Linked DNA regions of Struthio camelus. The protein of the gene in region 1 interacts with the protein of each later gene in a biochemical or structural test. Links are inferred from orthologs where the notes say so. Each region holds a gene or a part of one and is shown in the gene's direction. Other genes may lie near its edges.

Region 1 (7,724 bases):
CTTTTCACTCACCCGTTTGTCACTAGAACTCCCGTTGGAGCGACATCTCTGTTGAGTGCTTCCAAAGACCAGCGATACAGATTCTGGGATGACTTCTTGTTGGTTAAATCATGCACTAAAATTATCCCTAAAGTAAAAGAGCAGGCAGCAAGATGCTATTTCATGATATACAGTTTTTCCTTTTCCTATCAAAATGGCACCTGCAGGTTCCCAGACGTCTGGGAACTAAGACAGGGAAAGATAACTCGTTGAACTACAGGGAATGAGTTAAGGTGAAAATACGAAAATGCAGCAGTTTTTTAAAGCTCCTTCTCAGGAGTTGGATAAGAAGAAAAACCCAGGAAAGGAGGAACAGAACATCCATCTTAGGTTTTAATTTGCAACAGGCTGGCAGGCATTCCCCAATTCTGTTCTAATCCTCTAATAATGTAATCCTAATGATACTGAAACTCTGTATTAACACAGCAGAGAATTCAGCCTTTCACTGTTCTACCTAGCTGGTAAACACACAACTCTTTTCTTGTCACACAATCTAAGAAACAGAAAGGCTGTTTTGGGGCTGGGTGGGTTCTGAAGGGTTTACAGAGCACTATTACCTTCCCACAGTTTCAAGAACTAATGCCATGCACTTGTGGAGGTATCCAAAGGGGAAATAGGCTCTGATGAACTTTCACAGTCCACCAAACGCTTGGTAAGAACACGCGCTAATACGATTCCATGTAGTCAAGAAAAAGCTTCTAGCATTTTTCATTACCGTGAGCCTTCAAAATGTAAATCCTGAGATAGGAAAATTGCCAGCCAAACTTTCTAGCTGTGCTGTTAACAGACACCCACTTCTGATAACCAGAGTTCCTAACTCAATTATCAACTCCTGCTAGCAAATATCTTCTATTTATTCACACCTTCTGCCACCTGTGGAATGCTCCCACTTTCTCCAGACTTTAAACCATCACTTATTCAAGGATAAGATGCAATTATACCTCTCATCGCTATCGGGATTTGTTCTCAATACACATTTCACAGCCCACAGGTGTACAAAATTTATTTCATTTAATCTTTCATCGGTTACCTCCCAAAGATGCCACCCACTGTAAACACTAAGAGCAAACCACATAGCCGCATTCTCCACTACCCCACACTACTTTGCACAGAGACTCCTATGAGAACTCTACAAGAAAACGAGCACCTCCCCCAACATGTCACAACAGTATCACTCTTTCAAAGCCTTTATCTCAGTACTAGCAGAAAAAGAGCAACTTGACCTTGCGTCCACCCCCCAGTACAGAGAGAGAAAGCCTGATGCAAAAAAAATTGGCTTATGGCAACAGATTCAGAGGCACTGCTGCATAACTTGCAAGAAAATTCCTCCTCTTTCAGGCATCCTTGACCTAAATAACGACCTCTCTCCCCTATTTACACTTTTCGTTGGTCAGTTTCCTTACTTGCCTCGCTCAAAACTACACAAGTAGTTGGACCGGCGGAAAAGACTGTGTCAACATCAATAAAGAGCAGACAAGACCAAGGACTATTGTTCCTGCTACATAAATGTCTGAAAACCACAGCCTTGCTACCTGTTCACTGTCTCGGACTATCACCGTGCACAAAACAGATGCAGGCTCATGAAAGCTGATGATCTGTGGCCATACCAAAAGTGAATGATACCTCACCTCCTCAGCAACCAAGTCTCCCTGACAGTCTGCACAGATGCTGCTATAACCAAACATTAACTGTCTTTTGATCTCAGACTTCTCAGATCACTGCAAGCCCAGAAAGGACAAGCAGTCAGGCAGAAGTAATGCGCTCCTCTTCTCGCATCAGGTCAAAGAGAGGCAATTTGTGAGACAAGCTCTAATGAAGAAATGTATCTAATGAAAGAAACTAGAGCCAAGGCTAACTACCAGAGACTACAATTTTCATATGTGAACTGGCTAATGTCTTTCGGGCAGTGGTAATAAAGCAACCCAATTTTCATAATTCCATCAATTAGAAGTCAGATACAAAAGTTCAAAACTTCATCTCCTCATGTGCTGCTCTAGGATATTTCCAAGTCTGACCAACACGAACTGTAATATTGTGGATTTGGTGCCAAAAAGAAATCCACTTCTTCTATACACCAAAGCAGCTTGCTTTAAGGCCTCTGCTTTGAGGGCACAATTCAGCTCAGCCTTACTTAGAGGGGTCTTGTTGTATAATGTAAGCAAAAGGCACCTACGCACAATTTTTCTCCTGGGAAAGGGGAAATAATCATAATTATGAAGGGCCCTCAGATGATGATGACCAAGAAATGAGAATCGAAATAGAACATCCGGGACTAAGTTTTCTGAAGTAGTCATTAACCTAGCATACTCTTATTTTCAGTGAACTGTCCTTGCATGTCAAATAGATAGTACCTGTTAGTATCTAGATAGTATCTAATGAGATACTGCATTTTAAATACTATATTCATAATATCTTATACGCTACTTCTGTGTTCCAGATGAACTACTAGACCTACAGGTCACTATTTCAAAAGAAGGGATGCCATATTTTCCAAGGCATAAAATCTATCTTTCTATTAACAGCAAGTTGCAAGAATTAATTACTAAAAATCACTTGCCAAATTAAGCGAACAGAGGGCAAGACGGTCATCAGATTCTTGCAATGTTATGGGAGATCTGTTCAAACTTGCCAGGGTGGGACATAACCATCAAAGTTCATGTACGTGCTTTATGGGCAGTAAACTTTTCCTTGGTTTAGATTTTGGAACCAAACAGACAAGGAAAACATAAATTAAGTCTCTGAATTAGACCTGGAAAGGTGAAACCAGCTCTCACATCTACAAGGATAGCTGGAAGGGACACCACTGCAACTTCAAACATCCCCTGTCGTGCCCGTTGCACAAGGCTGGGATAGTGACACAAAGTAAAATGCTGGATGAAGCTCATTTGCACAGGCTTGCCTGAAATAGTTTTCCAGTTCAAAACTGAGTCCATAAAATTCTGCTGAAGAATGGTATCACTCGTTCCTGTATAAATGTACTGGAATGAGTACAGAGAACAACACAGCCCTCAGCCAGACTCAAGGAATCCTGCTCCAAAGCCAAGAGACAGCTTACAGCAGAAAGTGACAAAAACAGATTTACTCCAAGCAAACTTACCATTCAGCAAGTTATAAAATACTGCTCGTGTGCTTTTCACGCTAGTGGCACTGCCCACTGAACCGCCAACATCCCACAGCTCAATATAGTAGGTCTTCTCTTCTGGAGTCCCTTCTTTGTAGTCATGAATCTGATGGAAAATTCAGACCATACGTAATCACAGCATTACCTTGCAGGAGTTAATCCACACAACACTTAAACATTCAGCTGCAATGACTACTGCATTTGGACAGAAATTCGTAAATTCTAACACTGACATCATTTGAAATCTCTCAAGTAGAAGAGGACTGACTGGATTGAGTCAGGCAACGACCACGGCGGTCACTGCAGTTCCTACAAGAGATGAAGCTTGGTGAGTCAGCAGGGAACATTCTTTCCTCCTAAACACTAGCAAACCTAATGACTCATGGAGTGCTTGGACACAATGTGCTGCTAAAGCAGGTGAAAAGATGAGGTTGTGATTTCTCGCAGTTGTTAAAAATCACATGACAATACTGCATAATTAAGAATATTAGCATGGCTGACTACACCAGATTTAGACTGACCACATCTTTTTACTCCTAAATTCTCATCGACATGTCAAGTGAATTAATCAAATAGCAATTTTCCTCCCAGGATTTGCTGCGTAGTTTTGCTCCACAGTCAAATACAACTGCAACATTTCTTTCCCAAAATTTTGGGAATATAATTTGGCATTCTTTGAGATAAAACTCCTAGACAATAGGACAGGATCATTCCTAAGCTACCGCAAAGCATTTTAGGGAGAATGTTGCATACAAGGAAGGAAGGAAGCATTTATCACTATCCCAAAAGGACTGCAGGTAGGCCAAAAACTACCAGATGAGTAAACTCACAGTCCCCCGATACTAGGCGCCGTGATGAGTAGACTGCAACAGAAGCAATCCCATGGTCATGCTAGAAATCCTCAAATCAAACAAACAGCCAATTCTGTTCTCCAATGTTTGGCTGACAATTTAATTGTGCACTGACTGTTTCTCAGGGAAGCGTAGTGCAAGTTCTGTATCCTCTGATTTAAATGGGCTGCTCATCAACTTATAACACTTCAGTGGTCACTGCGATAAGGAGGCTCTATGAATGACAAGAATCTTTGCTTCTTTAGTTAGCAATCTTGTAAAGTCACAATTTGCTCACACAAGTGCTCTGCACATATTTGATACTTTTTCTTCTAACAGTTTTCAACTTTACAAAACACTGAAACACACCTCTTTCTGTGGGGCAAAGTAATGAAAACAACAAATTAACTAAAGACTGGAATCAAATTCCAAAAATCTAAGAATCTTGCTTTCAAGCTTATTTAAGTTCAAGCTCATTTACATCCCTTAGAAGAATGAAAGTCTGAATCAGCCCAGCTGAGAGTTGAGCTTGTAACAAAAAGCCCACAACACTGGGAAACAAGGTCGATTTCCTCTTTCGCATTTTAAATTATGTGTACTTAAAAAAAAAAAAAAAAAAACGCCTGGAATATCACCTACTCGAACATCCACCGAGCAGCCCACTGTCCAAGATGGATTCCCCAACACCTGGTTTTGGCATAAGAGGTGAACTAGTGAAGACTTCCCAACACCTGCAAACGCATGTAGAGAACAACACCCGATCAGTGGACGTGTCTGGGATAAAAACAGCTAAAAAGGCGGCGAGATAACCGACAGAAGCCCTCAACGAACCACCGCGTTTGTGCAACGCGCGGCCAGGGCACCGCCGTCAGTCCCTCCTGACTCGAAGGCGAGTCCGAGGCCGCCGCGCCAGGCGCCCGTTAACGGCCAACGGTCAGTGCCCAACGGCCGCGGCACAGAGCCGGGGCGAGGGGGGGCAAACGGAGGAGCAAAGCGCCGAAGCTCGGCTGGCACCGCTCGTCTCCGGAGACGCAGGCGGGCCGGGAGAAGGGCCGCGGGCGGGTGGAGCGAGGCCGGTTTCTCGTCAGGGCGAGGCGGCGGCGCTGGGCGGGAGGGCGGCGGGAAGCAGCGGCCGCGCCCCCCGGCACCGGGGAAGGGGGGCCCCCTCCCCCTGGGAAGGAGCCTGGGGGGGAGGGGGAGTGTAACTGTCCCGTCCCCCCGCCCTCGCTGTGCGCGCGCGTACTGTGCGGGAGGGGGAGGGACACTCACCGGAGTCGCCTAGCACCAGCACCTTGACCCGGTCCAAAGCTGCCATCTTACTCTACCTAGCAACAGCCCCTGAGCGTCCCGCCCTCTCCCGACGCCCCCAATCATAACTCACACTGCCCTCATTTTTCTCAGCCCATTGGCTGCTTACCCGAGCGACTAGGACGCCCTGGAGCTCTGTGATTGGCTCTTTCCCTTGTCGCTCAGCGGGCTTAGTACCGGTTTCTGCCCCGGCCACGGGCAGCACGTCGTAGTGCGCATGCGCCCCGCGGGCAGCGCCGTTGGGCAGGGGCCTGGCGCCTTGTGACGTCACAGGCGTGCGCGCGGTTGTGACGCGCCCTCGCGCAGTCACCGGAAGCGCCGCCCGGAGAGGGGAGAGCTCGGAGCGGCGGCGGCAGGTCAGTGCCGGCCCCGGCCCCGGCCCCGGCCGACAGCGGGCCGCCCTCGCCCCGTCCCCGGTGCCCGCCCGCGGCTCCCCGGAGCGGGTGGCGGTCCCGGGCGAGGGCTCACGCGGCGGCGCACCGGGGAGTGGCCGGGCGGCGGGGGCGAGCCCGCCTCGCTCCCCCTCCCCCCGCTCCGGGGTCCCCCCTCCCCCCCGCCTGTTTTAGGTGCCGTTGGTGGGGTTGGTGCACGCCGGTGCCGCCCGCGGGGCTCCGTGCTGCTCCCCAGCGCCCTCGGCCCCAAACCGGCGGCTGCCTCTTTTCTTGTATTCCCCTCCCCCCCCCGCCCTTTATGAGATACTGTTGAGCCCCTCGAGTCTCCGGTCGTAGAGGAACCTACAGAGCCGGCCGTTTAAAAACTCAACACGCAGAAGTGTGTAGAGGGTAGGAAGCTGGGCATATAGTATAAGGGCTTCTCTGGTTAGCATGGGTGTAAAAGCTTAGGCCAATGCTAAGGCCTAGTATACTTTAGGAAGTCTGTGTGACTTGTAATTTGAGGGGAGCTGCTGGATTATAGACTCCAAGGAGTAATTAGCACTGCAAGAGGCCTGGGGTGCAGTGAAATGAGATGGATGTATTGAGACAACAGCCTGCTACTGTTAAAGGGGATATCTTTAACCTCATCCCCCTGTGTCAAGTGTGACCATTGTCTGAGCCCCCACAATGAAGCCGTTCAGCTCTCTAGGCCTGCAAGGTTTTCTTACTTTGGTCTTCTCTTGGCTTAGCAAGGTTGATGGTTCCCTGAAGGGCAGGTGAGCATCTCACAACAGGAGTGAGCTGTTAAGTAGGTTCATTTAATGGTATCATTTCAAGTGGCTCAGGATACGTGAGGAAAGTGTGTCTTATGAAAGAAGTGTTCAGCATTGCCCAGTTAAGATACAATTCCATGAAATACAGGTAACTTAAGATTTTTTTTCCACCTCTGAAAGGTGGAGTTGCCTCTCATTTCTTCCCCTGCAGTGGCATTCTCTTGCATCTGCTGTTTCTGTTGCTTATCAGACCTTTCCATTAGCTGATTCAACTGATTACAATGTCAGAGAACAAATCTAGTTTAAAAAAAATTTTCTTCTGCTATGGTAGTTGGTTAATTTGGAGCGCAGAAGGGTCTTGTGAGTGTCAGAACTGGTGCAAGAGAATGGGCAGAGCCATGTGCTTGAGAGTGTACCAGTTCCCTTCCAGCAGCAGCAAGGGCTGATGGGAGTTTCAGTCCTACCCTCCATCTCCTTTCAGATACTATTTACAGCACGCTCTCACACAGGATGCCTAAGGCTCTTCTAATGGAGAAATTATATGAAATTAAAGCTAATCAGATATTCTCTAATTCCTTAATTTTCTATTTCTTTATCGCTTACATCCCCAGTAGGTACATTAGAGTTATTAGCTTGCTATATCCTGATGAGCTAAGTCTTTTCCAAACACGTTCCTTAATTGTTTGTGTTACTTTTTTCCTGAATTCCTTAAAGTCAGACACTTTCTTTCTGGGCGTATAGTCTTTGGTACCAAGCATGATGTGCCAGTTCTCATTGAACCCAGGATGCTAAGAAGGATTATTGCTTCCTTCCCCTGAGAAACTTCAAGAGGGATGGTGGGTTAAGTCAACTATACTGAAATCATGACTTAGGCTTGATATGTTTGAGAATACCTTTATCTTTTTCCCTTCAAAAAAAAAAAAAGGAAGGGGGGGGGAGGAAAAAAAAGCCCACCTAAAGAACCCTAGCACTTTGCTATGTGCAGACCAATGCTGAGAAGTCTCCAAAATAGTGGTTGTGCTTCCCCTGGTATGTACTTAAATGGCATTGTGAATTGTATGGGTTTCTGATATCCTGATATCCACTGTTAAAATATTCTAGGGCTTCACAGTACAGCTAAGTCAATTTAACACCTCTGTCACCACACGGAGAAAGCTCACTCTTCCACATCCCTAGCTGTCCTACAGCTGTGAACTGTTTGTTAATGGTGTGTGCATTTGAAGTACTTCTGAATATCACATTTGTGTGTATACAAACATATACATTCCTTTACCTAAGT
Region 2 (7,826 bases), on another chromosome or scaffold:
GACTACAGGCATGATAATTAACAAACCCTGTCTCTAGAGTTTCAGAGGGTGCACGGAACTGCATGCGTAAAATTCCATTAGAGAGAAGGGTTGTGGATTTGAGATCCCCGATGACAACTTTTAATATGTTACTAATGAAGATACCGGCATTTTCAAGTCATCAATTATGCTTGAATACTAGGTCCAATTATTAGAGAATACCAATGGAAAGAATACTGTTGCAGGGTTATATTTTGCTTTTCTGTAAATGCCAAGATGAAGCTGTACTCGCAGAAAATAAGAGTCAAGGTTGATAGCGAGTATGTGTATTTTCAAAGGACTTATCTGCTAATGAATCTTATTATTCTGGCTGTTTACACATATTAAGTAACAAAAGTTTAACGACTTGTATAACTTGACTTTAGTGGTGATAACTTTCATGGCATTTTTTGCTCGTGGCTCTCTCTGGCACAAATAGAATTTTTATTGCTGTTTCAGCCGATCTTATTAAACTTCTGTGTATTTTTTAACCAACTTTGGCTGGAATGAGGAAAATGATGAATAACCGTTCACACAAGTTCCATTTGATGGGAACACAAATGGGTGAGCCTTGATCCAGCCCAGTCCTGTTCGAGGAGCAGATTGTTCATTTTTAATTTGGAGGATGATAATATCCATGCCAGTACAGAAAAAAGGTATGGGTATAATTGACTTTTTTCTTGATTGATAAATCTGTTACTTTCTCAGTTTTAATTTAGTCTTAAAAACTCACTTGATTTGCAATTCCTACTGTAGCTAAACAGTCCTCTCAGTATACCAGCATGATAAGTTATTTAACAGCTGGTTTTTTAGCTAGTGCCTTTTTATCTGTATGCCTTAGTTTTGTTCATATTTGAACACCGTATTGAAATGCTATGGCTGTCGTACAATTCTGTGTCACCAAAACAGTCTTTGAGTACATTTCTCAAGTGCCCAAACCAAAATTCACTAACTGCATTGAAAAGTGTTCTTCATGTGTAATCTGCTGTAGACTTTTAAATTGAGACTTTAAAAAAGTGATTTTTGAAGTACTTCCTGATGAGTACTACCTAAGCTAATACAGTTTTCATATTGCATTTTGGAGACTGTAAACTGATGCAGAAAAACTACTTCTCTGCACTCATACAGACGCTGTTACAGCCAAGATACAGTTTCCTAGCTCTCTGGGTACTAGACTCTGGTTTTACTGCAGAGATCTTAAAAGTTCTTAATGGGCTAGTAAGTGACGGTTGGTGTACTTCTAAATATGTTACTGTACTCAAAGTTGTCTACTTTCAATATAGAGGAATATTAGTTCTGATTTAGCAGTTCGGCAAACTCCTCAGTGAAGCTAGCTTTGTTCCCGTTAAACTGTTCCCTGTTTCTGTTAGATAATCCTAATCCTGCCATTGTCTTGACTGAAAGCCTTCTTGCAGCACCAGGAGGTACAGTGCAGTACAGCAAGCCATTCTTTTTAGACAACATAGAGCAATGCGTATGCAGCTTCAGAGACTTGAGCAAATTGATCAGATCTATAGTTACTTAAAATTGAATTTTGATTTTTTTTTTTTCAGTCTTGAAAGTTTGTCATGCATATGAAAAAGCGTAACTTGTGTGCTTGAATGTAAGTCCATATGGTGTTTCTGGAAAAGCAAAAGTATTACTGCCAGTATCTCTTCTTCTTGCTGGTAACTTGCTGTCTTGTGTTCATGACAAGTATGCAGTGTAAAATCACATACAATTACCAAAGCTTTTCTATCCCCATCTACATATAGCCAAAAGTGATGTTTCATGGATTAGTACTGTTCCTTATATACGCATATATATGTCAGTAAGCTATCGCTAACTGAAGAAAGCAGGTACTAGTAAAAAGTGATGGACACTGCCCATATTTAAAAGATTTGGGTGTTTGTTGTTGCTGTTTTGATGTGCAAAATTCATGCCAGCATTAAAATGAAGAGTTTGTTTTTTAAAACTCTTTTTAACTTAATCTTATCGATGTCATTCTAAAAATAACGTACAAGCTTGGTGACTGCATTTGGCAACTTACTTTGTAGCCAGGTTTGAGTTTTGGGACACTTACGGAATACCATGAAGAAAAGTAGATTCGTGATCCACGTTGCTCTGTGCTCCACAATAAGAAAATTTCAAAGCTGCTGCGAAGCAGTCTGTTTTACTTCAGAGCCAGATCTCACCCACAACTTTAAGGGGTGTATGCTGCCTTCAAGAGGAGCCCCAAACGCACACCAAAGGGGGCAGAATTGCTTCCAAACTGGGGTTTCTAACTCAAAATTCTTGATCGGAAGCAAAGGATCTTTTTTCATTTTATTTTCTCTGCTTTGCCTATGCACAGTCCATTTTTTCATTTTAATTGGCATTACTGAAATACTGCGTAGGTGGTGGCCACCGATAGCTTCTGAATTTCACGAGCGTTAACATAGAGCGAAATGCCACGGCTCCGCCACGGGAGTCAGAGGCCCTGCAGATCCCTGCTGCTGGAGGGAGTCGGGCTCAGGCTGCGGGGTGGGCGCGCTGGGGCAGAGCAGCGTCGCGCGGCCCTGCGCTCCGGGGATGCGACCCGTGTCCTGCAGCTCCTGGCCATACGGGGAGTTTGGCAGGTGACTCTCGTGGCCACGCGCTGTGCTACATAAAGCAACTGGTTGGTTTCTCTCTAGCAATGTATACATCCGTATATTTGAGGGGCAAGGGGAGATGGAGAAAATTCTCGTGTATCAAACAGTGTTAGCAGTCATGCTTTGGCTAGGTCTTATTTCTTCATGAACCTGCTTTAAAGGGAGAGGAACTGGATTAAATACGTTAAAATCCTATCTTGTGATTCAGTCCTTACTCTGAGTCCACTGATCAGGACTGGAGGTCAAGGTCTTTTGTGGGGAAATAAGGAAAAGGATATGGTAACTCTAGAGTGGCTACTTGCAGGAAATATTTCAAATGTTTTTCATGTCTTTTCCCCCAATAATAGCTTATCCTTTTCCCCAAAGAGTATATAATGTGGATTTAAAAACAAGGATTGCATTTTCTTTTCTGAACAGGCATCAGATTGTCAGTTTCCTAGTGTTTGTTTCTCATGAATACCAGTTTAAAAGGTGGTGTCATCCTAAAATTGAAATAGTTTATTATGAAAAATAGTGTCTGTCATCTCAGACCTCACGCAAGTCATATAAAGGAATATCATTGTAAATATGTGGAGGGAGACTTAGATAAATTGGAACGTAGGCTTTTAGTTTTCATGAAGCTAGGAATTAAAATTTGTAAATTTACTCTTGATCTAATGTACATTTTTTTATGTAGCCATTAAATTCTCTATTTAATCTATCAGTTTCTCACTGTAAATGTTTTTACTCTCAGTTGAATGCTGGGCACAGTTTGTAATGTATGTACACAAAGGTGTTTTTTTCTATCAACGTTGACTTTTTTGCACATTTCTGGAAATATTTAATTTGTACACTGATTTAATACTCTGACCAATTGTTGAGGGGCGTATGAGAATCACGTGTGTGTGCAATGTACTACTGTCTGGATGTATGGTTTTTTTATTACTTTTGAGATGTTGCTATCAGTAACTGCACTGCTGTTGCTGCTTTACATGGAATATCTTGTGTATAAAAAAGAAAAAAAATTAAAAATTAGCCTATGGTTATCTTGGTTGAGGAACTCAGGAGTTGAGCGTTGCTTACTAGTTCCATTTGTCTAACAACCTTCCAAACTTAAGGGTACTTGTAATTCTATGTATGCGTTGAATGGTTGTGTGTATATATATATATCCCAGTAATCTTATTCCACAATTTCATTTTTACATTTTTATGAACTTGTTTTTTAAGGGTACTATGTTTAGTTAGAATAATTAAATATATAAAAGCTTTGAGAGATTATTTACTAGATAAATATATTTTCAGCTGGCTGATGTTCAAAATATTTTTTTAATTTTTGTTTTTAACCATTCAAAATGTATTTGTATTTCCAAAATCAGACACGAATTGTACTTTAGAGATGATATTAAAACACTCTGTAGGGACAACAGTGTGATTTCTCTTTTAAGAATTTTGTTTAAAAAAAAAAAACGGACAAAAAACCCCAAATGCTGAAGTATTTAATTGATGCAGAGAAAATACACTGTTCTGAAAAGGTGAAAAGCAATCTTTGAATCCCCAGAGCTGACTGGGGAATAAAGAAGGGGGAAGACAACACCAGTCGGGGAAGCCCCTTCTGCGCTCCCCTGCCCCGGTCTGCCTCGGGCTCTCCTTGGCAGCCCCTCTCCCTTGCTCCTTCGCTCATGCTGGGAAAAGATTAAAGCACCTTTGTCCCCCTGCTGATGGGTGAACGTCATACGTTGGCAACATGCTTTAAAGACTTGGCCTACTCTCTTACACGAGCAGCATGTCAATCCAACACCTGAATTTCCAGTGCTCTTCAGAAAGCCTAAAGCGGTGCCAAGGAAGGCTTGTCGCGCTAGTCCCGCGGCGCGCTGCTGCCTTGTCCTTAAGCCCTAGCTCAGAAAGAGCTGACCGACTCCGTGCGCTCTGTCCGTCGCCTCTCATGCACGTTTGACTTTGTTATGTTTTCAAAACTGTTCTTGTTTAAAAAAAAATTATAAACATTTTTGATTTTTTTTTAAACCAGTTTCTCTGTATTTACCTGTTTTATTTTCTTGCTGGTCGCTGCCTTTCCGTTCGCCCGGGCGGGCAGCAGCCACCTCCCTCCCCTGCGCGGGCGGCCGCGGCGCCTGCCGAAAACGGCGCTTTGAGCGTCCCCAAACGGGAATATTCCACTTCCCGCTCTGCCCCCGGCGCGGCGGGCGGCCGTGACGTCACGCCCCTCCCCGGCGGAAGTGACGCGACCGTTCCCCCCCCCACACTGCGGGGCGAGGCGGCCATGGGCAGGAAGGAGCGGGGTGAGCGCGGCGGGGGCGGTGGGGGGGGGGGTCCGGCTCCCACCCCCCATTCAACGCCCCCCCCCCCCCGCTCACCCCGCTCCTGATGGTTTCGCAGACAAGAAGAAGTCCAAGAAGCGCCATTACGAAGAGGACGACGAGGAGGACGATGACGCTGCCGGCAAAGACCCGCAGGAAGCGGTGCCGTCCGCGGCCGGGAAGCAGGTGGAGGAGAGCGGCGCCCGGGTGGACGAGTACGGCGCCAAGGATTACCGGCAGCACATGCCGCTGAAGGCCGACCACGCCTCGCGGCCCCTCTGGGTGGTGCGTGCGGGCCGCGCGGCCGGCGGGGGCGGGCGGGGGCCGCCGCGCCGGGCGCTCCTTTCTGCACGCGTGCAGTCACCTTAACGGGTTGGGGGAGCACGAGTACGTTAGCTAGCTGTTTCCGGGAGGAATGCGAAACCGGCTCTGGCAGAAACCGGTGGAGTTAATAAGACAAGTAGGATGCGTTGGTCCCTCACGCAGTAACTTGGTTTGTACGTTGGAATGAAACGTCACTAATCAACGTGGTCTGATATCCCCTATCTGGTACCGTTTGTTTTCTCTGCGTTAAAAGGGAAGTCAAGAAACCTATGTAAAACATGGCCAATAGCGAAAGCATATTTAGAAGAGGCAGCTGCCCTGCCAGCTTCTGCAGGGTGTCTGTTATTGAATGCTGTGAAACACAGTTGGCACCTTTCCTCCTCTCTTCCTTCTGGTAAAATGGGGGACGGGGAGGAAGGGAAGTTTGGAAGCTTGCTCCTGTTTGGAGCAAGAAAATGTATTTTTTTTTTTAATTGTTAAAACAAAGAATGAGAAAAAGGCTAAGATGTTAGTCTAGAAAGCTTAATCAATCTGGATGTGTTTTTTTTGTTAGCATCCTAGAAAGGCTACTGACAAACGCAGAAGATGAAAGTTTCATATTCCTGTATCTCCTTCTGTGTCTTGTCAGTTTTTGTAGTTCTGTGTAAAGTTTTCTCTTTTTTTTAAAGAGTCTCAACACCTTGATGGGGAGAAACAGCTACAGTGATATACAGTGTATATTGTGTTAGTTTCTTCATTTCTTTAATTTAGGTCTTGTTTATAAAATTATATTATTTCTGCTTGTTGTAATTTCATTGTTAGGGTCGTCACTTTTTCTGAAACGTGGTGATAACGTTATCACCTAAAGAGTGAAGTCATTCTGTGTCATAACAGCTGTTTGACAGGACACTCCTTGTTTTTCTCAACTAACATTGGTGTGCTTTCAGCATGTTTTTTCTTCCTTGTGTAGGCTCCTGATGGCCATATCTTTCTGGAAGCCTTTTCTCCAGTTTACAAATACGCACAGGATTTTTTGGTTGCTATTGCTGAGCCAGTGTGCAGACCAACACACATCCATGAATACAAGCTGACTGCTTACTCGCTTTATGCTGCTGTTAGTGTTGGCTTACAAACAAGCGACATCACAGAGTATTTACAAAAACTGAGCAAGACTGGTGTCCCAGATGGAATAATTCAGTTTATCAAGGTAAGCCTATTATGGGAAATTTATCTGCTGCTACTGCGGAAATCTCTTCCTGCTGCTGCTGCTGCTTCATTGGTTTTTACTCACTCATTGCTTTCACAGTCATATTCTATCCTGTTACTCTGTTTCAAGAGGTCAGAGACTTTACTGTGGATAAAGACAAAAAATAAGATACATGGTTGCACAAATAATATTTTCATAATGTAGCCTATATGTGGCTTATAGCTTGAAATGGAGGTCCTAAAACAAAGCCTTAGTGTGCATGCTTTAGGCCAGAGGAAACGCACGTGGAGTAAGCTTCCTCATATTTACTCTGAAGGTTAGTAATGTGGGAAGTTAGCTGGAGTAGTTGGTGCACTATAAAACAGAGCCTCCTTATCTTGCAAGTGTGTTTTTGCCATCCTAGAAGGAGACTGGAATTGAATATAAAAACTGAATGTCTGTGGTTGATCTCCTATGTGAGATGATGTATGCATAATCTGAAAGTAGTTGTTAAAGTAGTTTTTTTTCCCTAAGCATAATAACACTGTAAGTAAATGTTTGACTCTGTTGCCCTTTCCCACAAAAAATGGAAATGTGTTGCAGTATCTGATCCCAAACCTAGAAACAATCCTTTATACGTTCCTAATGACTATTCTTATTTGTTTGTAGCTGTGTACTGTCAGCTATGGGAAGGTAAAGCTGGTACTGAAACACAACAGGTAAGCAGCTTCTTCCTTAATTAGCATGGAGGAGGAAGTCTTCGAAACAAGCGCACCGCTGTACATAAACAACTCTGACTGTGGTCTCAGTAGCTGTTGAGTTGAAAACTGCGTTACAGCTCCCAGTTGATTGCGACATACATTACCACAAGATCATATTCTCAGTTGTTTCAAAGCATTTAATGCATTAGTCAATGCATTCAGTTTGACTCTCCTGAGCTCCTGGTGCTGATCATTACGTTACTGCAACAGGATACTAATTTGATGTTCTAGCTTGTTTCTTTATTGCTTGGACTTGCAATGTCTCATTAAGGTTTTCAGATAATTGTTTCATTCATTCACTCCCAATTTATAAGAATCTAGGTTAGAAAGCTTTTCTACAGCTGTCCTTCAGTCTCATGTGTTTTTATTTGTAATCTGTTATTCAGGAAGGACAAGCAAGTGGCCTGACAAGAGGCGTGTGTTTGTGTGAAATCTGCTTACTGGATTGAATCTGATGTGTTCTATGTATGGAAGATAAAGTTGGAAGGAATCTTGAGAGATCCACTGGTTTAGAGCTAACCGGTTTTATGTAAACCTATGATTTTGAGGTAGCGAGAGGAGAGGGAAGGAGAAAGCAGAAAACTCAAACTTCTCCTAACACTTTCCTGTGTTATCCCTGTCTCCCTTTCTTTTCTTCATAAAGTTCTTTTCT
Region 3 (7,933 bases), on another chromosome or scaffold:
ATGAGGGACAAGATGGGATGGGGGACAGGACAAGGGGACAAGGTGGGTGGGACATGATGGGGGACAGAAGCAGCGACATGGGGGGGCAAGATGGGATGGGGGACATGGAGGACATGGCAGGGACATGGGGGACAGGATGGCATGGGGGACAAGGCAGGGACAGGGGGGACAGGGCAGGGACATGAGGGACAAGATGGGATGGGGGACAGGACAAGGGGACAAAGGGGGGCAGGACGCGATGGGGGACAGGGCAGGAACATGGGGGACAAGGGGGACAGGACATGATGGGGGACAGGGCAGGGACACAGGGGACAAGATGGGATGGGGGACAAGGCAGGGGGACAAGGGGGGATAGGATGAGGGACAGGGCAGGGACACGGGGGACAAGATGGGATGGGGGACAAGGCAGGGGGACAAGGCGGGACAGGATGAGGGACAGGGCAGGGACACGGGGGACAAGATGGGATGGGGGAGAAGGGGGACAGGGCAGGGGGACAAGGGGGAACAGGACATGAGGGGGGACACAGCAGGGACATGGCAGAGAGGACCACCGATGAGGGGACAGGGCAGGGGACCCCGGCGTGCCTGGCTGTCCCCACCGCCAGGGCGGACGAGGTGACGGTGCCCAGCTCTGGGGCTGTCCCTGCAGGGGACGTGCCCCCCCTCCCCCGACGTCCCTGTCCCCATGCCCACCTCGGCGCCCTCCGGGGACGCGGCCGGCCGAGCGCTGGGCCCCCATGCCCACCTCGGCACCCTCCGGGGACGCGGCCGGCCGAGCGCTGGGAGGACACCGGGAGCACTGGGAGGGTGCTGGGCAGGGGCTGCCACGGGGCCGGACCCGGACACCTGGGCTCCCTCCCCGCGATAACCCTTGTTATTACCAGAAGCTCAAGGCCACCGGGACGGACCCAGGCGTCCGGGCCCCCGCGTCACATGGGCCGTTATCGCCCGGCTCGTTAAGGCCCTCGTTAGGGCTCTGCCGGTGCCAGGCCCTGCCCTGCCCTCCCTGAGCCCCCCCCAAGGAGATACCAGCACCAGGGTCTGCTCAGAAGCTTTATTTTGTGGCTGGGGACGTCCCCAAGGGTCTCCTAGGCCTTGGGGACATCCCTAAGGGTCTCCCATCCCGTGGAGATGTCCCCAAGGGTCTCTTAGGCCTTGGGGACATCCCTGGGGCTCTTCCATCCTGTGGGGACATCCCCAAGAGTCTCCCATCCCAAGGAGATGGCCTCAAGGATCTCCTAGGCCTTGGGGACATCCCTAAGGGTCTCCCATCCCATGGAGATGTCCCCAAGGGCCTCTTAGGCCTTGGGGACATCCCTGGGTCTCTCCCATCCCATGGGGACATCCCCAAGGGTCTCCTAGGCCTTGGGGACACCTCTGACTCTGTCCCCTCTTTAAGAGATGTCTCTAGGTTTCTCCTTTTTCCCCAAGGACACCCCTGAGTCTCTCTTGTCCCTCCCTTGGGGACATCTTTGGGGGGGGGTCATGTCTCCCTTGAAACCTGATCTCTGATCCCCCATCTCTGATCTCTCTCCCATCTCTCAGGGACATGCCTGGGTCCCTCCATGACATCCCTGGGTCTCTCCCAACCCTTGGGGACATCCCTAGGTCCCTCCGCAATGTCCCCAGGTCTCTCCCAACCCTCAGGGACATCCTTGGGTCTGTTCCCCACCCTTTCCTTGGGGACATCTCCAGGAATCTTGTCTCCCCTGGTGGTGTCCCCAAGCCTCCCCCATCCCTCAGGGCTGTCCCCAGCCCTGTCCCTTCCCTAGGGGCCGTCCTCAGGTCCCTCGTCCCCCAACGTCCCCCCACCCCGGGCCGCGGGGGCATCCCCGGGTTCCCACTCCCTGAGGACGCGGAACGGGGGCCCGTGACCCGGCACGATGACGTCGGCCACGGCCAGCACCCGCCGACGGCTGGCCTCCTGCCGCGCCGGGTCCTCGCTCAGCTCCCGCCAGACGCCCTCGTCGCCCTCGCGCTCGAAGAGGTCGCCGGCCACCACCACGGTGCCCAGGGCCGTGCCGTGCACGGCCACGCTGACGTGGGCGCCCGTGTGGCCCGGCGTGGGCAGCACCTCGAGGTGCCCGGCATCCAGGGCGTAGGGTTGGCCCCGGGCCAAACCGTGGGGCAGGTAGAAGCCGGCGCCACGGCTCAGGTCGAAGCCCACCAGCAAAGTGGCGTCGGGGAAGAGGTTGACGTTACCGACGTGGTCGGAGTGGCCGTGGGTGCAGAGGACGTGGGTGACGTCGGCCGGCGACAGTCCCTGAGCCGCCAGCAAGGCCGGGAGCCGCTCGCGGTTCCACGGTCCCCCCGTGTCCACCAGGGCCGTCAGGGGTCCCCGCACTAGGGTGATGGAGCCGTCGGCCAGCAACGAACCGTCGGGACGCGCCTGGCTGTAGCCCTCCTGCAGCACCCGCACGGAGTAAGGGGTCCCCGGCACCTCGTGGGTCCCCAGCGATGCCGTCCGTACCCCTGGCAGCATGGCCGCCCCGGTTTGGGGTGGGGGGGAGGACGGACGGTGCGGTGTGGAGGTCGCGGAGGTCACCGAGTCAGGGCGCCCTGAAGAGAGAGTGGGGAAGGGTGCAGGACCTGCCAGCTTCCCCCCGCCACTGGGTGAGTGGTCTCTCCCAGTGCCTCCCCATTATCCCCAATGGTCTCCCCCAGTCCCTCCCCATTATCCCCAATGGTCTCCCCCAATCCCTCCCCATTATCCCCAATGGTCTCTCCCAATGCCATTATCCCCAATGGTCTCCCCCAGTCCCTCCCCACTATCCCCAATGGTCTCCCCCATTCTCCCCCCTACTATTCCCAATGGTCTCCCCCAATACTCCCATTATCCCCAGTGGTCTCCCCCCGTCCCTACCCGCTATCCCCAATGGTCTCTCCCCATATCCCCCCATTATCCCCCATGGTCTCTCCCAGGCCCCCCTCTCCCTTGTCCCCAGTGGTCTCCCCCATTTCTTCCGCTGTCCTCCCCTCCATGTTCCCCCCCCCCGTTACCCCTCCGTGGTCCCGTCCGCAAGGCGCGCCCCCTCACCCAAACAGCTCCGCGCGCCACTGCCCCGGAAGGGGCGGGGCTCCCGCCGGAAGGTGGCAGTGTGCGCCGCCATCTTTAGAGAGAGAAGTCCCGGGCGCCGCCATTTTGGGGAGGCGGACGGGAGGCGACGAGGGACAATAAGCACAAGAAGGTGTTTCCGCCCCCCAAGGCGTTTCCTGCCCCAAGGCTCCTACCCGCTCCCCGTCGTGGCGGCCGCGGGGCTCAGAGCTCCCCGGAGTGGTCGTGGGCCGGGGGGTGGGGCGCTTCGTCCTCACCACCCCCCCGGACCCCCTCTGCCGCCCCCTATCATCCCCAGAGACACCCCCCCCCCCAGCCACTGCCCAGGATCCCCTGGACCCCAAGAGCCCCCTCCAAGATCCTTTGGGACCTTCTCACCACCCTCCAGCACCTCCTGGGATGCCCCCTGCCACCCCTCAGGATCCCCTGGACCCCACCCCCCAGGACCCCAAGAGCCCCCTCCAAGATCCTTTGGGACCTTCTCACCACCCTCTAGCGCCTCCTGGGGTCCCCAGGGCTCCATCTCCATGTCCTGGGACTCCCTTAGGACCCCGGTGGCACCACAAGGATCCCCCCCCCCCATGGTCTCACCTGCTGCTTCAGCTGTGTCACCTCGGCTGAGGACTTGTCCCACAGCTCCACGGGGACCCCCAGGTCCACCTTCACCCCCTTGTTCATCAGGGACTTCAGGGTGCTACTTGCACGCTGCCGGAGGTCCCCGCGGTCCCATATGGCTCACAGCCCCATATGGTCCAGTCTTCTATAGCCCCAAGCCCTGTATGGACCCATCACCATAATCTTGAATGGCCCAGGCCTGCCCCAAGTCCCATATAGATCAGTTCATGTAGTCCTATATGAACTCCGCCCCCATAGCCCTATATGGGCTGGTCTCTATAGCCCCACAGACCCATGTGGAGCAGTCCCTATATCCCCATAGGGACCAATGCCCCCCCATAGCCCCTCCGGACCAGCTGCTAAAGCCTCAGTGGCTCAACCTTCATGGCCCCTATGGCCCGGGGTCCCCATAGCCCTGTATAGCCCATTCACTGTGGCTCTAAACAGTCTGTTCCTATAGTCTAATACAGACCTGTGTCCCCGTAGTCCTATATAGCTCAGTCTCTATAGCCCCCTATGGACTGGGGCTCTATAATGACATACAAACCACTCTCTATAGAGCTATATGGACCAGGATCCCCTATAGCCCTGTATGGCCTGGTCCCTACAGCCCCATACAGAATAGGGTCCCCATAGTCCCATATGGCCCTTTCCCTACAGCCCCATATGGACCAGGCACCCCGAACAGTCCTACCTAGCCCAGGGTCCCTGTGAGCCCTATACAGACTGGTGCCTATAGCCCCATATGGACCAGGGAACCCACAGCCCCATACAGCCCAGGACCCCATTGTCCCATATGCCCCTATCCCCCATACAGACCAGGGACCCTGCAGCCCCATATAGAATGGCCCCTATAACTCCATATGGCCCAGGGAACTCATAGTCCCAAATAGACTGGTCCCTATAGCCCCATATATGGCCCAGGGAACCCAAAGCCCTATGCAGCTTAGGGCCCCTATAGCCCCATACAGCCCAGGGACCCCGCAGCCCCATATAGACCGGTCTCTATAGCCCCACCCGGACCACGAAACCCACAGCCCTATACAGCCCAGGGCCCCTATAGCCCCATACGGCCCAGGCGCCCGGGTCGCTGGCGCCGCGCACGCGCACTGGGAGCGGGGCGGGCAGCACGCATGCGCCCCGCCCTGGAGGCGGTGCCGGCTCCACCGGGACGCGCAGGCGCGTTGCCCGACCCGCCCGCCGCCTCGCAGGTCCTGGCAGGGAGGTAGTGAGCGCGGAGCGAGGGGGAAAGGAAGGGGTGGGAAGGCTCCCGGATCCGCGGCCGGGGTCAGACTCGCCTTAAGCTCCGTTAAACGCCAGGCGGTTTGGGCTTCTTCAGCCTCGCCGCCGACGTAAAAGCGGGCGAAAAGCCCTTCGAGGATCCCGCCCCGCAGCCCCTTCCCCAACACAGCGTGCAGCGGCCAGGACCTGGCGGTGAACGGCGGCAAGAGGCGGAGCCAAGATGGCGGCGGCGGCGGCCGGCACCGGGAAGGCGGCGTGAGAGGTGGGGGAGGGGGCCGGCTCCGGGAAGGGGGCGGGGTCGCGCTGCCCTCCCCCTCCCGGTATATTTTTTGGGGCGGGGGGGGGCTTGTGTGCGCATGCGTGTGTTCCCCCCCCCCCCGGGGTCCCCTTTGCATCAGGGTCCCCCGTCTGCCCCGGTGCCCGCGTATTTGGGGTCCCCCCCGGGCGGGATGCCCGTGGCGGGGGGGTTCCGCCGGCTCTGCTGCCCCGGTCTCTGGCTCTGGGGCTGCGCCCTGGGGTCCCCCCCCCCCCGTGTTTGGGGGTCTCCCCAGCCCAGGGGTTCCCCCTGTGTTTGGGGTCCCCCCCCCGCCTTAGGGTTCCCCCCGTGTTTGGGGTCCCCCTGCCCTTCACCCTGCGGTTCCCCCCGTGTTTGAGGGTGTTTAGGGGTCCCCCTGCACCCTGGGGTTCCCACTGTGTTTTGGATCCCCCCCGCCCTGGGGTTCCCCCCATATTTGAGGGTCCCCCCCACCCTGAGATTCCCCTTGTATTTTGGGTCCCCCCCCACCGTGGGGTTCCCCCCCCCGTATTTGGGGGTGTTTGGGGGTCCCCCCCCTGCCCTGGGGTTCCCCCCGTGGTTGGGGTCCCCCCCCCCCGTGGCATCCCTGTGTCGGGGACCCTCCCACTTGCTGCTGTGTCCTAACGTCTCCATATTGGGCTCTCGTTGCCCCCCAAAACGACCCCGTGCTCTCGATTTCTATACGATGCTCCTATATCCAAATCCCCCCTGTTTAAGTCCCCCCACCCACGATCTCTTTACATCCTATATATTTAGGATGCCCCCGCAGCACCTTTATATTGGGGTGCCGTTGTCTCCCCCCACGATGTCCCTATTTCGGGGTCTCCCGCGTTTCCGCTTCGCCCTAAATGTTTCCTTCCCGGGGTCCGGTGTAGGGACCCCCCTTTTTGGGGTCCCTACACCACGATCTCCGGTGCAGCTTGTAGGACCCCCTCCTTGCCCTGCTGACCCTGCCGCCCCCCTCTGCAGCCCCCCACGACCACCACCAGCACCCCCCAGAGGAGGAGGAGGAGGAGGAGGATGGCGGAGGAGAAGAAGCTCAAGCTGAGCCACACGCTGCTGCCGGCCGAGTCCATGAAGGTGATGGCCGAGGCCATGGGCATCGGGCAGGTGCCCGAGGAGACCTGCCAGCTCCTGGCCGACGAAGCCAGCTACCGCCTCAAGGAGATCGCCCAGGTAGGGGGGGACACGGTGGGGGGGGACACAGAGGGGACAGGGACAAGGACAGAGCCTGGGGTGGGGAGGTCTCTCAGCCCCAGGCTTCGGGGAAGGGAGGGAAGGTGACAGCACGTGTCTCACCCACTCCGTCCCAGCGTCACTCAGCCCCTTCCCTGGTGGTGTCCCCTGTCCTGGGGGGGCCGTGGGAGGCTCCTCGCTTTGCTGACCCCCCTCCCCGGCCCCCCAGGATGCCCTCAAGTTCATGCACATGGGGAAGAGGCGTAAGCTGACGACGGGGGACGTCGACTTCGCCCTCAAGCTCAAGAACGTGGAGGTACCGCAGGGACCTGTATCTGGGGGGGGGGCCTCTGGGACTTGGCAGAGGTCTGGGATGCTCTGGGGGGGCTCTGGGAACCACAGGGGGGGCTCTGGGGATGCTCTGGGGGGATCAGGGATGCTCCTGGTGGGGCTCTGGGACGTGGCAGGGGTCTGGGATGCTCTGGGGGGGCTCTGGGATCCACACGGAGAGTCTGGGGATGCTCTGGGGGGATCAGGGATGTTCTTGGTGGGGTTCTGAGATGTGACAGGGGTCTGGGATTCTCTGAGGGGGCTCTGAGATCCACAGGGGGGGTTCTGGGGATGCTTGCGGGGGTCGTAGATGCTCCTGGTGGGGCTCTGGGATATGACAGGGGTCTGGGATGCTCTGGGGGGGCTCTGAGATCCACACGGGGACTTTTGGGATGCTTGGGGGGGGGGGTCAGGGATGCCCTGGGGGAGCTGCCAGCCCTCCTCTAAGCCCGCCGTTGCCCCCGCAGCCGCTCTACGGCTTCCACGCGCAGGAGTTCATCCCCTTCCGCTACGCCAGCGGCGGCGGCCGCGAGCTCTACTTCTACGAGGAGAAGGAGGTCGACCTGAGCGACATCATCAACACGCCGCTGCCCCGCGTGCCCCTAGACGTCTGCCTCAAGGGTGGGCCTAGGGGAGGTGGCCTGGAGGCATCGTAAGGGGGTGACGGCGGGTTTCGGGGTGGAGAAGAGCTGTTCCTTGCTGTTTGTCACCGCTTTTTGTCTCTCTCTTTTTTTTTCTCAGCTCACTGGCTCAGCATCGAGGGGGTGCAACCCGCCATCCCCGAAAACCCTCCTCCAGGTGAGTGAGGGACCCAGGTGTCCCCAGAGCAGCCCCTCCTTCTCCTTGGACTCCCCATGGGAGATCTGTCCTCCTCATGGGGAAGATCTGCCACTAGCTCCTCTCGATCTGTTCTCCAAAAAAGAAAATTTGCCCCCGATCCCTGGTAGTTTTGCCTTCCCTGGGATAGATCTGCCCCCCGTCGAGGCGGATCTGCCCCCCTACCAGCACAAATCTGCCCCAGTCAGGGGGTAGATCTGCCCCCAGTCCTCCCATGCTCTGTCCCCAGCCCCCAAGGAGCAGCAGAAAGCCGAGGCCACGGAGCCGCTCAAATCCACCAAGCCGGGGCAGGAAGACGACGGGGCCCTGAAGGGCAAAGGCCAGAGCATGGCCGCCCCTGACGGCAAAGGTAGGTCACGGAGAGGTCCCTGGGGTGTTTGAGA

What was found.
Region 2: the proteins of GTF2E1 (region 1) and ERCC3 form a complex in vitro, tested with the Homo sapiens proteins (2 studies listed by BioGRID). The link is inferred for Struthio camelus from reciprocal best matches to the Homo sapiens genes GTF2E1 and ERCC3.
Region 3: the proteins of GTF2E1 (region 1) and TAF6 form a complex in vitro, tested with the Homo sapiens proteins (2 studies listed by BioGRID). The link is inferred for Struthio camelus from reciprocal best matches to the Homo sapiens genes GTF2E1 and TAF6.

What each region holds. Positions count from the first base shown.
Region 1 is NC_090942.1:92,867,668-92,875,391, reverse strand, and holds the start of GTF2E1 (general transcription factor IIE subunit 1), read left to right. Parts: upstream 1-4,721; 5' UTR 4,722-4,923; intron 4,924-5,259; coding exon of another isoform or gene 5,260-5,305; exon of another isoform or gene 5,306-5,380; intron 5,381-5,543; exon of another isoform or gene 5,544-5,654; intron 5,655-7,724. Other genes in the region: RABL3 (rab-like protein 3), read right to left, coding at 13-127, 3,137-3,266, 4,630-4,721, 5,260-5,305.
Region 2 is NC_090947.1:29,887,765-29,895,590, forward strand, and holds the start of ERCC3 (general transcription and DNA repair factor IIH helicase/translocase subunit XPB), read left to right. Parts: upstream 1-4,809; 5' UTR 4,810-4,887; coding exon 4,888-4,906; intron 4,907-4,981; exon of another isoform or gene 4,982-5,003; coding exon 5,004-5,209; intron 5,210-6,197; coding exon 6,198-6,434; intron 6,435-7,082; coding exon 7,083-7,132; intron 7,133-7,826. UniProt on the Homo sapiens protein: ATP-dependent 3'-5' DNA helicase/translocase. Binds dsDNA rather than ssDNA, unzipping it in a translocase rather than classical helicase activity. Component of the general transcription and DNA repair factor IIH (TFIIH) core complex.
Region 3 is NC_090978.1:546,317-554,249, reverse strand, and holds the start of TAF6 (transcription initiation factor TFIID subunit 6), read left to right. Parts: upstream 1-4,850; 5' UTR 4,851-5,174; intron 5,175-6,176; 5' UTR 6,177-6,227; coding exon 6,228-6,383; intron 6,384-6,612; coding exon 6,613-6,699; intron 6,700-7,180; coding exon 7,181-7,334; intron 7,335-7,454; coding exon 7,455-7,511; intron 7,512-7,779; coding exon 7,780-7,899; intron 7,900-7,933. Other genes in the region: MBLAC1 (metallo-beta-lactamase domain-containing protein 1), read right to left, coding at 2,203-2,559, 3,038-3,110, 3,647-3,733. UniProt on the Homo sapiens protein: The TFIID basal transcription factor complex plays a major role in the initiation of RNA polymerase II (Pol II)-dependent transcription.